Ovis aries: one gene and its partners. The protein of the gene in region 1 interacts with the protein of each later gene in a pairwise test. Links are inferred from orthologs where the notes say so. Each region holds a gene or a part of one and is shown in the gene's direction. Other genes may lie near its edges. The genes, in order: PRPF31, CCDC136 and SSX2IP.

The links.
Region 2: the proteins of PRPF31 (region 1) and CCDC136 interact in binary tests that used the Homo sapiens proteins (3 or more experiments, as listed by UniProt). The two-hybrid records come from large-scale screens. The link is inferred for Ovis aries from reciprocal best matches to the Homo sapiens genes PRPF31 and CCDC136.
Region 3: the proteins of PRPF31 (region 1) and SSX2IP interact in binary tests that used the Homo sapiens proteins (3 or more experiments, as listed by UniProt). The two-hybrid records come from large-scale screens. The link is inferred for Ovis aries from reciprocal best matches to the Homo sapiens genes PRPF31 and SSX2IP.

What each region holds. Positions count from the first base shown.
Region 1 is NC_056067.1:64,008,810-64,012,456, reverse strand, and holds part of PRPF31 (U4/U6 small nuclear ribonucleoprotein Prp31), read left to right. Parts: intron 1-526; coding exon 527-624; intron 625-1,239; coding exon 1,240-1,346; intron 1,347-2,028; coding exon 2,029-2,198; intron 2,199-3,366; coding exon 3,367-3,524; intron 3,525-3,647. UniProt on the Homo sapiens protein: Involved in pre-mRNA splicing as component of the spliceosome. Required for the assembly of the U4/U5/U6 tri-snRNP complex, one of the building blocks of the spliceosome.
Region 2 is NC_056057.1:94,459,237-94,462,983, forward strand, and holds the start of CCDC136 (coiled-coil domain-containing protein 136), read left to right. Parts: upstream 1-1,521; 5' UTR 1,522-1,610; coding exon 1,611-1,668; intron 1,669-2,459; coding exon 2,460-2,567; intron 2,568-3,747. UniProt on the Homo sapiens protein: May play a role in acrosome formation in spermatogenesis and in fertilization.
Region 3 is NC_056054.1:61,675,957-61,679,499, reverse strand, and holds the end of SSX2IP (afadin- and alpha-actinin-binding protein), read left to right. Parts: intron 1-1,609; coding exon of another isoform or gene 1,610-1,613; exon of another isoform or gene 1,614-2,111; coding exon 2,112-2,289; 3' UTR 2,290-2,969; downstream 2,970-3,543. UniProt on the Homo sapiens protein: Belongs to an adhesion system, which plays a role in the organization of homotypic, interneuronal and heterotypic cell-cell adherens junctions (AJs).

The sequences.
Region 1 (3,647 bases):
ACTGGAGGGGCGGGCAGGATCCCAGGCCACCTTCCCTGCTGGCGTCTCCCAGGGCCCTGCCCCGAAGCCCCTGCATTAGCTCAGACGTAGGTTCAGCTACTGAACAGAAGGGTGACGTGACAAGGAAGTGTATTTTCCTCCCGTGGGAAAGTCTGGATGAGGAGCCCAGGCTGTCTGTGTCTCACTGATTTGTCGCCTGTTTCATGGTACAAAGTGACTGCCCACCTCCAGCCATCACCTCCACATCCCCATCAGCAAAAACAATCAGGAGAGAGGAGGAGGGCACATTTTTTCACTTAAAAGAGTGACCTGGAAGTTGCCTGTGTGACTTGCCCTCACGCCTTATGGACCAGAACTGATCCACACAGCCACACCCTGCAGTAGGGGCAGCCTTTGTGCTGTGTGTCTGTGAGCCCGGCTGCCACAAGGGGCTCCCTCACTGCAGGACGAAGGGCAGATGGGTGCTGGGGGAGCCAGCGGTGTCTGCCTGCCCCTCATCGGGCTCCTGCCCGCCCTGTGCCCCCAGACATCATCCATAAGTTCATCCGGGATAAGTACTCAAAGCGATTCCCCGAGCTGGAGTCCCTGGTCCCCAACGCCCTGGACTACATCCGCACCGTCAAGGTGAGCACAGAGGATGGGCCCCCAGCCACCACGCCTGTTGAGAGCACCCTGCTCTTGGACCCTCCAGGGGGTCACTCAGCTCTGGGCCAGAGGCAGGATGGGAACAGGGAGCAGAGATTGGGGGAAGCCAAGACCCCGAGGTGGCAACAGGCCCTGGAGCGTTCAGGGAGAGGGAGGAGGCGAGTGTAAGAGGTCATCAGGTCAATCTGGCCTCCGAGGCTCCGGGTCTGAGGGGCAGGCCCCACGGGAGGGGCAGGCCCCACGGGAGGGGCAGGCACGTGAAGGCGGGACACCACCCAGCACCCAGGCTCCTGGAGAGTCGAGCAGATGGGGGTGGGGAGGAGACGCGGTCAGACCTGCACCGCGAGTGGACGCGGGCTGCAGGCCTGTGGGGGCAGCCCGTCCTCTGCAGGTGGACCGTCTGCTTCTGGGCAAGCCCCCTCCCGGGGCAGACTGCGGATGCTTTGAGCCTCGGGCTTGTAGGAACTGGGGGCAGACGGGGCGGCCGCTGTCCCTGCAGGAGAGGTTCTAGACCCTCCTGAGTCCCCGGGCCTCCGCCTCATCCCCCTCATGCCCCTCATCCCCCTCATCCCCCTCATGCCCCCCCTCCCGCAGGAGCTGGGCAACAGCCTGGACAAATGCAAGAACAACGAGAACCTGCAGCAGATCCTGACCAACGCCACCATCATGGTCGTCAGCGTCACCGCCTCCACCACCCAGGGGTGCGTGCCCGGCGGGCCCAGCCGGCGGCCGTCGGTCGTGGGGCCCCGCGGCACGGGCGTAGTGTCAGGAGGACGGGTTGCTGCGCTGCCACGTGTTCGCCGAGCACCTCCTGCAGGCCAGGCTCTGGGCCCCGGGTCCCCGGCGTTGGGAAGCCAGCCTCCTCCCAGAGCCTGTGGTCCTCAGGGGTGCAGCGGAGGGCAGGCCTGTAATTAGAAGTGGCGTCCCCTAAGGAGGGGCACACGGGGTCTCCCCCTGCCCCTCAACGTCTGTGGTGGGCCTGCGAGAAGGGCAGAGGCGTGTCACCCCACAGCAGGGCTCTGACTGGACAAGCCGTGAATGGGCAGGGTCGACGGCAGCTGGTGGGAGCAGCTGGATGGCGGCCTCGCTGGTTGGCAAGGCCGAGACCTGCAAGGTCTGGGGAGCTGGGGGGAGCGTTTCAGAAAGATGGAACACCTGCAAAGAGCCCGGCTGCAGGCCGGGCAGAGAAGGGAAAGCGGCGAGGACGCGCCACCACGGGCAGCGGGCTGGCGGAGCTAGTAATCGTCCCGAAGGTGCACGCGCACGCAGGCGCACATGGCGGGGAGGTTGGGGCCCCTCACCACTCAGGACCCGCGGCAGCACGGGTCGTTCAGTCCGCCCCCGCCGTGCCCCGCCCCAGCTGTGTCCCCACCCTGCCTGCAGACAGCAGCTGTCGGAGGAGGAGCTGGAGCGGCTGGAGGAGGCCTGCGACATGGCGCTGGAGCTGAACGCCTCCAAGCACCGCATCTACGAGTACGTGGAGTCGCGGATGTCCTTCATCGCCCCCAACCTCTCCATCATCATCGGGGCCTCCACCGCCGCCAAGATCATGGGTGAGGCCCGGCCCCGCGCCCGTGGCTTCGCGGAGGCCTGTCCCTTTCCTGTGAATCGGGGCGTGTTCTGCACGTCCTGGGGCCCAGCACGCGGCCCCCATACCCACCTGCTCGTCTGTCCGGAGATCGCGGACCAGCGTGGCGGCCGGCAGAGCTGGGGCCCGGCAGCTGCAGGGGCGGCGGGGCGTGGCCGGTGGGGAGGCCGGGGACCCGGGGCCGCCTGGTGATGGGTCAGCTCTCTGCGCCCCAGGGTTCCCCGCAAGATGGGGGCGCTCGTCCTGGCAGCGTGATGGGGAAGAGTGAGTCCCTTCCTCCTCGGGGCGCGCCCCGCCACCTCCCCCAGGCACCTGGTCCCTTCAGCCGAGGAACGCTTGCGGGCACGTGTGTGATAGACCAGCGAGCGAGTCAGTCACCGCAGGCGCGGCTTCGAGGGCGAGATCCGTCCTCGGGATAGGGCGGCACTGGGCGTCGGGGGCGGGGTGCCTCTGCGGCCTCTCCGCAGGGGGGTGGCCCCTGCCCGCGGGTCCTCTCCTGGTCATCCCGGGTCCCGGTCTCCCCTCCCATCGGGGCACCTGTTCTCCTGGTTGGGGGTCCAGCCTGGGGGCGTCGTCTCACCTGGCTCACCCCTGCAAAGGCCCTGTCTCCAGATTCTAAGATGGTGGGGGCTTAGGACTTCAGCGAGTGAATCTGTGGGGAACACAGTTCTGCCCGTGAGGCAGGGGTGTGCAGGGTTGCAGGAAGGATGAACTCCTGCTTCTCCCACTCCCCGCCACCTCTGACCTCACGTCTTTGGGCAAACCGTGTCACGCGCCTTGGTTTCCACCCTGGAGACCAGGAGGGTGTTGCCCGCACCCGCAGACACGCTCTTGGAACCCAGAGGTGGCTCACACCCGGGCCGCTGGTGTGGTGACCAACCCCTGAAGCACAGGCAGGCCCACGTGGCTTCCCAGACGAGGGGTCAGGTTTCTCGTGGGCCAGGGGCTCACTGTGCAGCCTCCGGCACGTCCCTTTGCCTCTCGGAGCCCCTCTGAATCCCCCCCGAGATGGGACATGTTGACGCTCCCTGGCGGGCCCCCCTCAGGCCTGCGGCTGGAAACTCCTGTGAAGGGGCAGCGCTCGGCGGACCACCCCCCGCCACCTCGCTGATGTCTGCCCCCTCCTGCTGCAGGGGTGGCTGGCGGCCTGACCAACCTCTCCAAGATGCCTGCCTGCAACATCATGCTGCTTGGGGCGCAGCGCAAGACCCTGTCGGGCTTCTCGTCCACCTCGGTGCTGCCCCACACCGGCTACATCTACCACAGCGACATCGTGCAGTCCCTGCCCCCAGTGAGTGCCCCCCGGGTCCCCGGGTCACTGCTGGCGGCAGGCGTCGGGAGCTGGGAGCCAGAGGGTGGCCCGCACGGGCGGGTGCAAGGGGGCAGGAGCAAGGAGGCCGGAGCCGATGGGCTG
Region 2 (3,747 bases), on another chromosome or scaffold:
TTTACTCATTCATTCTACGTGTAAGAGAATTTGTCAGATGCTAGGAGAAGGCAATGGCACCCCACTCCAGTACTCTTGCCTGGGAAATCCCATGGACACAGGAGCCTGGTGGGCTGTAGTCCATGGGGTTGCTAAGAGTCGGACACGACTGAGCAACTTCACTTTCACTCTTCACTTTCATGCATTGGAGAAGGAAATGGCAACCCACTCCAGTGTTCTTGCCTTGAGAATCCCAGGGACGGGGGAGCCTGGTGGGCTGCTGTCTATGGGGTCGCACAGTCGGACATGACTGAAGTGACTTAGCAGCCGCAGCAACAGCAGAGATATACAGAAGACCATGTTAACTCCCAGTCTTCAAGAAAATGGGCAGACAGAAAATTGAAAATCTGACCTTGACAACCCTGAGTGACTGGCAATGCCCTAGAGAGAAAGGAGGAGAGGGTGTGTATAATGGGGTGGGAGGGGGCATCAGGAAGGGCTGCCTAGGGATGACTCCCTGCTGAGTGTTGAAGGGTAAGTAGGGGATGTCCAGGTGAAGAAAGGTTCTCCCCTGAAGAATATGGAGGGCTCGTGAACCTGGGAGCCTGTGGCGGTGACAAAGACAATATATGCCAAAGACCTTGTGAGTGGATGGGTGAGAGAAAGGATTGGTGTGTGTCCCTGGCTTAGGAATCTCCCAGTGCTTTTCTGGATGTCCTGGGACGCCCCAGTTCTCAAGTGTACCCATATTTTTCCTAGCTAAGACCTTCAGAGATGTGAGAACAATTGTTTCTTCAAGACCTGGCCCCTGGTAGACGTTCCTTGAATGAATGATGAAGTTAAGTGAAATAAGCCCGCGTAAGTTTCACATCTCCCATTTTTAACTGTAAATCAGCAGTGCCCACCCTGAACAGGCTATGCGTGCATGATGAGTGGGGGTCATTCTCGCAGCCCACCGGGAGTAGGGCTCGTGGGAAGGCAAGCGGTGGAGAAAGGCGGCCTTCGGACACTAAGGACAGTGTAGGGCCACGGAGCCGCCCCTCCTAAGAGGGTCCCTGCTTCTGGCTTGGTGAGGGGCGCACGCACGGACAACAGAGGGATCAGGGCCCCGAGTTCACGTATCCTGGCCTCAGTTTCCCCGCTCCTGCCCTCACGCAGTTCTGGGGCGGGTGGCCGGGGTCCGCGCCGACTGCAGAGCTGGGGGGCGCGCCCTGCGCCATAGGGAGCCAGGGGAGTGGAAAAGCATCCGCGTGTTTGCAGGAAACAAGCCGGGAGGATCCGTCCATCCTTTTGGTTTTCCTGCCTCATCACCGAGCTAGACGGGATCCTGGCACACGGAGCAGAGGGGGTCTCCTCGCGCAGCCGACTCCTGGCTGCTCGCACTCTCCGCGCGGGTCTCCTCCCATCTCCCGCTCGCTCGGCCTCGGGGAACTCGGGAGCTGCGGCGGCCGACCGGCTTCCGGGCGGGCGGCGGCGGGGGCGGTGTCAGGTGGCCCGGCCAGGCCCCGCCCCCTCGGCCGGCCCGCCCTCCCTCCCCTGCGCACCCGGCTCCGGTACCCGGCCTCGCGGCGGCGGCGGCGGCGGCGGCGGCGGCGGCGGCGGCAGCGGCAGCGGCGGTGGCGAGAGCGGCCATGGAGGCGGGCGCCGGGGCCGGCGCGGGCGCCTCGGGCTGGAGCTGCCCGGGCCCAGGTCAGAGCGCCCCTCCTTCACCTCTCCACTGCCTCTCCTTCCTCTTCTCCATCTCTCCTCCCCCCAGACCCCCACGGCCTCTCCCCCCTCCGCTACTCCCCACCTTGACGGCCGAAGTCTTCCTCCTCCCTCCCTCCCGCCCCCCACCCGGGCCCGGTCTCCATCTTTCCCGGCTGGGTCTTCCCCACACCGGCCGCATCCTCCTTGGCATTCCCTGCCCTGAGCCTTCTCAATCTCGACTCTCCAGCCTCATACTGCTTCCAGCCCTAGGGGCTCTATAGATCCTGCACCCGCTCGCACCCCTAAAGCTTCTGAGCGCGGGGCGCGGGTGGGGTGGACGAAGTCTAGGGAGAGATGGAGGGGAGGGGAGGGGGTCCGGTCCACACGACCCCCGCCAGCCATCGCCGGCCCCCTCCCCACCTTCCCCTTAGGCGCACTACCTCACCCTTTCAGCCTCTTTACTTGCTCCCACCCTCTGCCATCCTTGTCCATCTTCCCCCTCTGTCCCCTCTGGGCTAAAGAGACACACACCCTTTCTACCTGTGCGAGGGAGAGGAGCCTGGAACAGAGGTTGCAGAGGAGGATGGGCAGGGCAGGGCGGGGTCCCCAGAGGCCCAGCCTAAGGGGCAGCTTGGGGAGAGGAGTCGCAGTGCCTGGCAGAGTGAGCCAAGTACTTCCACCGGGATAAAAACCCCCAGGGCTCCGAAGGGCTAGAAGGTGTGTCCCTTCCCCTCCCTGCCTCACCCCAGCCACCCTGGCACCCCACAATCCCTCTCTCTCCTTGCTCACAGGACCCACAGTGACCACTTTAGGCTCCTATGAGGTGTCGGAGGGTTGTGAGAGGAAGAAGGGCCAACGCTGGGGGTCTTTGGAACGGCGGGGGATGCAAGCTATGGAGGGTGAGTTTTCCTGTAAAGCTTTCTTTCCTTCTCCCTCACCCAATTTTCCTTCCTCCCTCTGACCCTCCAGAACTCTGAGCCAGGACACACACCTTCCCCCTAGTTCAGCTCAGCACCCGCTAGCCCTCCTCAGGGCTCAGGTTTTGAGGGAAGTTCAAGGTACATCCTTTTGGGGTTCTAATCACCAGCTAACCAGGTTGTGTGTCCCGAGGGAGCTGCCAGACAGAGAAAGAGGCCTCTTTGGACAGAGCTTTGAAGCAGCCTTTCAGCAGGGGGTTTGTTCTCTCTGCCTCCCGACCCAGATCCCAAGCTGTCTCTTATTTTGAAAAGCAGGGAAGTGAGCACGTGAACTGTCTTTCTGGTGCTGCCACCACTGACTTCAAATGGAAGCCTGGTGGCTTTGGTTCTCTAGGCTATCTTACTGCCTGAAAGAGGGAGCCTGGGAAGGGGGCTGCTGAAAAGGCCAACCTCCCAACACATGTGTATTCCCACAACACCCATGCGACTTGGCAGTTGTTGCCAACACCAGGAGGATGCTAGAAGGGTGCCAGTCCTGTTGCCAGGACTTCCCGTGAAGGGTCCCCAGGTCCCTGTGCACATCTAGTGTGGTCAATCTTGCCCCTTCCCCCCCCACCTCCACTGACCCCGGGGAGACAGATGATGCCAGGGGTCCCAGATGAATCTTAGGCTGTGGTTACTGGACAAAACCAGGCCAGAGACTCAGAATTTTAAAACAATTGCCATCCAGATAAGGTTTTGCTATTTAGAGAAACTGCATTGCAGTAAAGGAGGGGGTGCTTGCCAGCCAGAGACTGGGGACCAACACACCCCAGTTTCTTAACTCATTAAAATGGCAGGCTTTCTTTTACACACAAGTACAACCTATGACTTTCCCCTAAAAACTGCCTTGTGGTCAGCAGGGGAGGAAGTGAGACCCCCAGACACTCAGCAGGGAAAAGAAAAGTGGACTTGGTAGAAAATTTCAAAAAGTCTATTCAATGGAATATGTTTGGAAGGGCCCCAGTGTTTGTCCAGTAAATCCTTTAGATCATTTCATTCAGATGTTCTCTTTCTCTGCCTACTGACAGGCAACACTTTCATATAATGGAAAGGCTAGTTTCTCACAAGCCACCTGGATCGTTTGTAAACTTTGTACAAACCCCCAAACTGTAATTCTTGC
Region 3 (3,543 bases), on another chromosome or scaffold:
ATGTAAGCTCAGAGTATATGTGTAGAATGTTATTGAAACCCCCAAATTGACCAATCAAAACTCTGCGTATAGATTTAGATACACATTCTAGTCGCAATTCACAAATGCAGGCAGCCCTCAGAGACGTTGCAGACTCAGCTCCAGACCACTGAGACAAAAGGGAATATCACAACAAAGCGTGCTACTTGAACTTGCCGGCTTCCCAGTGCATGTAAAAGTTGTGTTTGCACTGTATTGTTATCGATTGAGTGTGCAGTAGCAGTGTATTTAGAGAACAGTGTGCCTACCATAATTAAAAAATACTTCATCACTAGGAAACAACCCAAGATTGCCATAAACCCTCAGTTTGTAAAAAATACAATATCTGCAAAGTGTACAGTAAGTTGAAATGCAATAAAATGAAGTATGCTTATAATGCATTCTGTACCTAAAGGAGAATGTAGCCTAGTTGCCTCAATTATATTTATATATTTAGAATTTTTACTTTTTTACATAATTATTTTTAGTTATAACTCCTTGAAGACTGTGTTTAATGAAAAGGCCAACATTTAGTACCTACATTAAGGGTACTGTGTGAGATGCAGTGCCAGTATATGTAAAGCACTTAAAACAGTACTTGGCCCTTTGTAAACCTTCAGTAGCAGCATATAAAAATATATGTAAGCATAAATGGATTATAAAAATGCTTTTCTGTTTCTTGTATCCCAAGAGCTACACTGAACAGTATCAGTGGCATAGAAACAGAATTTTGGAGCTTAAGAAAATTTCGTTAAGCTATTCCCAGTTGCTGGCCTCTGAGGATAAAATAAGAGTCACGTGACTAGTTATCAAGCAAGAAGCTGTGCAGCTTGACATCGGCCTTGAAATTTTTAATTATTTGGTGTATTTGAATTCCTGATCTTCAAGCACTTTGGATCTGGGTTTGTAATAAGATTATGGCAAAATAATTAGGAGTATTTATGCCTAATTTCTATAGCACATCCTCATTCCTCCTTCACTGTAGAGTGGAATGTTACATATCAGCTGTAACTCACGTTACAGCAACGTAACGGCAAAGTAACTCACGTACTAAGTTATGTAGGAAACTTAGTTCACCATTGATCTAATCTCATCTGAGATGGCAGGGATTCTGAATCTGATTTATAAGCAAGTGCCTTTTTTTTTTTTTAAAGCAAATAAGTATAAAATTGTCAGTGTTTTTGGTTTAGAGTTTTAGAATTGGAGCACCTTAATTTTTTTAAGGATTGCCACATTATAAGGTTGAGTTATTAACCAAAGTCACATCAAAAAATGAATATTTAGGGAAAATAAGTTTTATGGAAAAAATTAAGCTATTTAGTTGATAAAAATGTATTGTTCATTGGCTCAGCCCATGATTTGCGAGTAGTCATTTAACTAAATTTCCTTGCTTTGAGGCTGGTTGCAGAGCATACCTCAGACAGTATCTCTGAAGTTAGGGGTCTGTATCAGTGTTCAGACACTTAAATTGTTGTTGTCTGACACTTAAAGTTAATTGAGCATCATCACACGTGCTTAGTGTGTGTTAACTCATTTAGTTTCCACCTCAAGCCTATGAGTTATGGGTTCTAATATTATTTCCACTTTACAGCTGAGGAAGCTGAAGAACAGCAGGGCTTAACTTGCCAGAAATGATGCACTAAGTGTCCAGCTGGGATGTGAACCTAAACCATCTGTTCGGGCCTAGACTCTTCACTACTTTGTAGGCCCTCATTAAATATCTGCATGGCTGAATGGATGGAGGATGCAAGCGTGCATGAACAAATCAATGAGTGAAGAAAGAAAGCATAAAAAGACTAGGACATTGTGGTATGGGAGACATTAGCTTTCAAAATTCACATGTTATCTGTCTGCCTTAGGCTCTGGTTGGGTAGCATCCTTCAGAGTAGACTGAACAGATAAATAAATAGATGGATAGATCAAAGTGATAAATTAGACTAGACCATGTTAAAGCACTTGTATGTTCTTGACCAGTGTGTCCTCAAAATTTTTGTTTAGCATGGGGCAAGGGAGAAATCAGATTTTAGACATTCAGGCATATCTAAGGTATGAAGGGAGGAGATAATAATTAAGATCTGCCTTTCTTTCCCCAGCAGTTCAATCAATGTACTGAATATCACCCCTGAAGAAACTAAGCCAAATCAGGTTGGAAGAGAATGTACAAATCAGAAGTGGAGCATGTCGTCAAGGCCTGGGTCACAGGAAGGTTGCTATAGTGGATGCTCCTTGGCCTACACAAATTCTCATGTAGAGAAGGATGACTTACCTTAGATATATGAACAGGGAGTTTTTTTTTTCATTAACATGGTCATCAGATTTCACATCTGAGTTGAAACAGGGCATGTTATAAAGTCAGTGATCTCTTAATAATTTAAGGTGGTCTGTGTTGTTTGTTTGGACTTCCCTGTTCCTCCCCAAAGAGCTAAAATGTTAAATCTATTTAAAAGGATATAAAAACTTTGGATATGTATTTTTAGTAACAGAAGCATCTGGTTCTGTGAATAAAGGAATGTATACATGTTTGGATGAAAACAAAGCACTAGAATGAGTTTCCTATTATAGATCTTAAAAATAGCACTTTTAGGAAACTGATTATTGTAAATGTTTAATTTTGTCTCATACATAGTTGGCATTGGAAGTTTAGCCTTTCCTTGAATGTATACTGTAGATTTTTAACAAAGCAAGTTCTATATTTATTATGTTTAATGTGATTTGAAATTCCCTCTTTCATATGTTTTAAATAAAGTGAAGTTTATGTATGTTTTGTACATAGATATACATGATTATGTTAAGAGGCTTTAAGATTTAAAGATTTTACACATCCATAATTATAGTATTTCATGCCGGTAAATTTTTATTAGTGATATTCTGTTACAGATGTATGAAAGCCATTGCAGCATTATGTTTAAGAAGTTTTTGAACCCATCTGAGCAATAAATACTCAAAAGCTATTCCATGAAGCCAAGTTCTTTAGATAATTAATATTACTAACATTCCATTTTTGAGATTTCTATAGCATTGGATTTTTTTAATATGAAGGATATTACAATTTTCAAAGGACTGTTGATTTTAGGGTAATAGAGGTAAGATGATTAGAGTACCTTTGGATAAAACAATTTAAGAGTATTGGCTTAGGATACTTCGATGTTAGAAGATACTGATATTTAAGATGTTTGGATGGTGATATTTTCTTTACCAGATGGGTACCCATACTGTAACGCCTGTACCAGCAAAGGCTTTGTATAGTTGCCAATAATTATTTAATAATTTTTCAATGAGATATTTAGTAATAAGGGAATCTGACAACATAAATTATCAGACTTTATAGTCCAGATACTATGATACTCTGGACAGACTTGTTTTATTTTCTGGACTAATTGCATGTTTCTTCATGGTTGTTGTTGTTGTTATTATTTATAGTAAGAATAATGTAAGTGTGGGCCCAAGCCCTTTCCAGGGTTTTCATCAGAAAGCTTTAAGTACCTAACCCTTATTTATCTCTGCATGTAGAAACCTACACATACC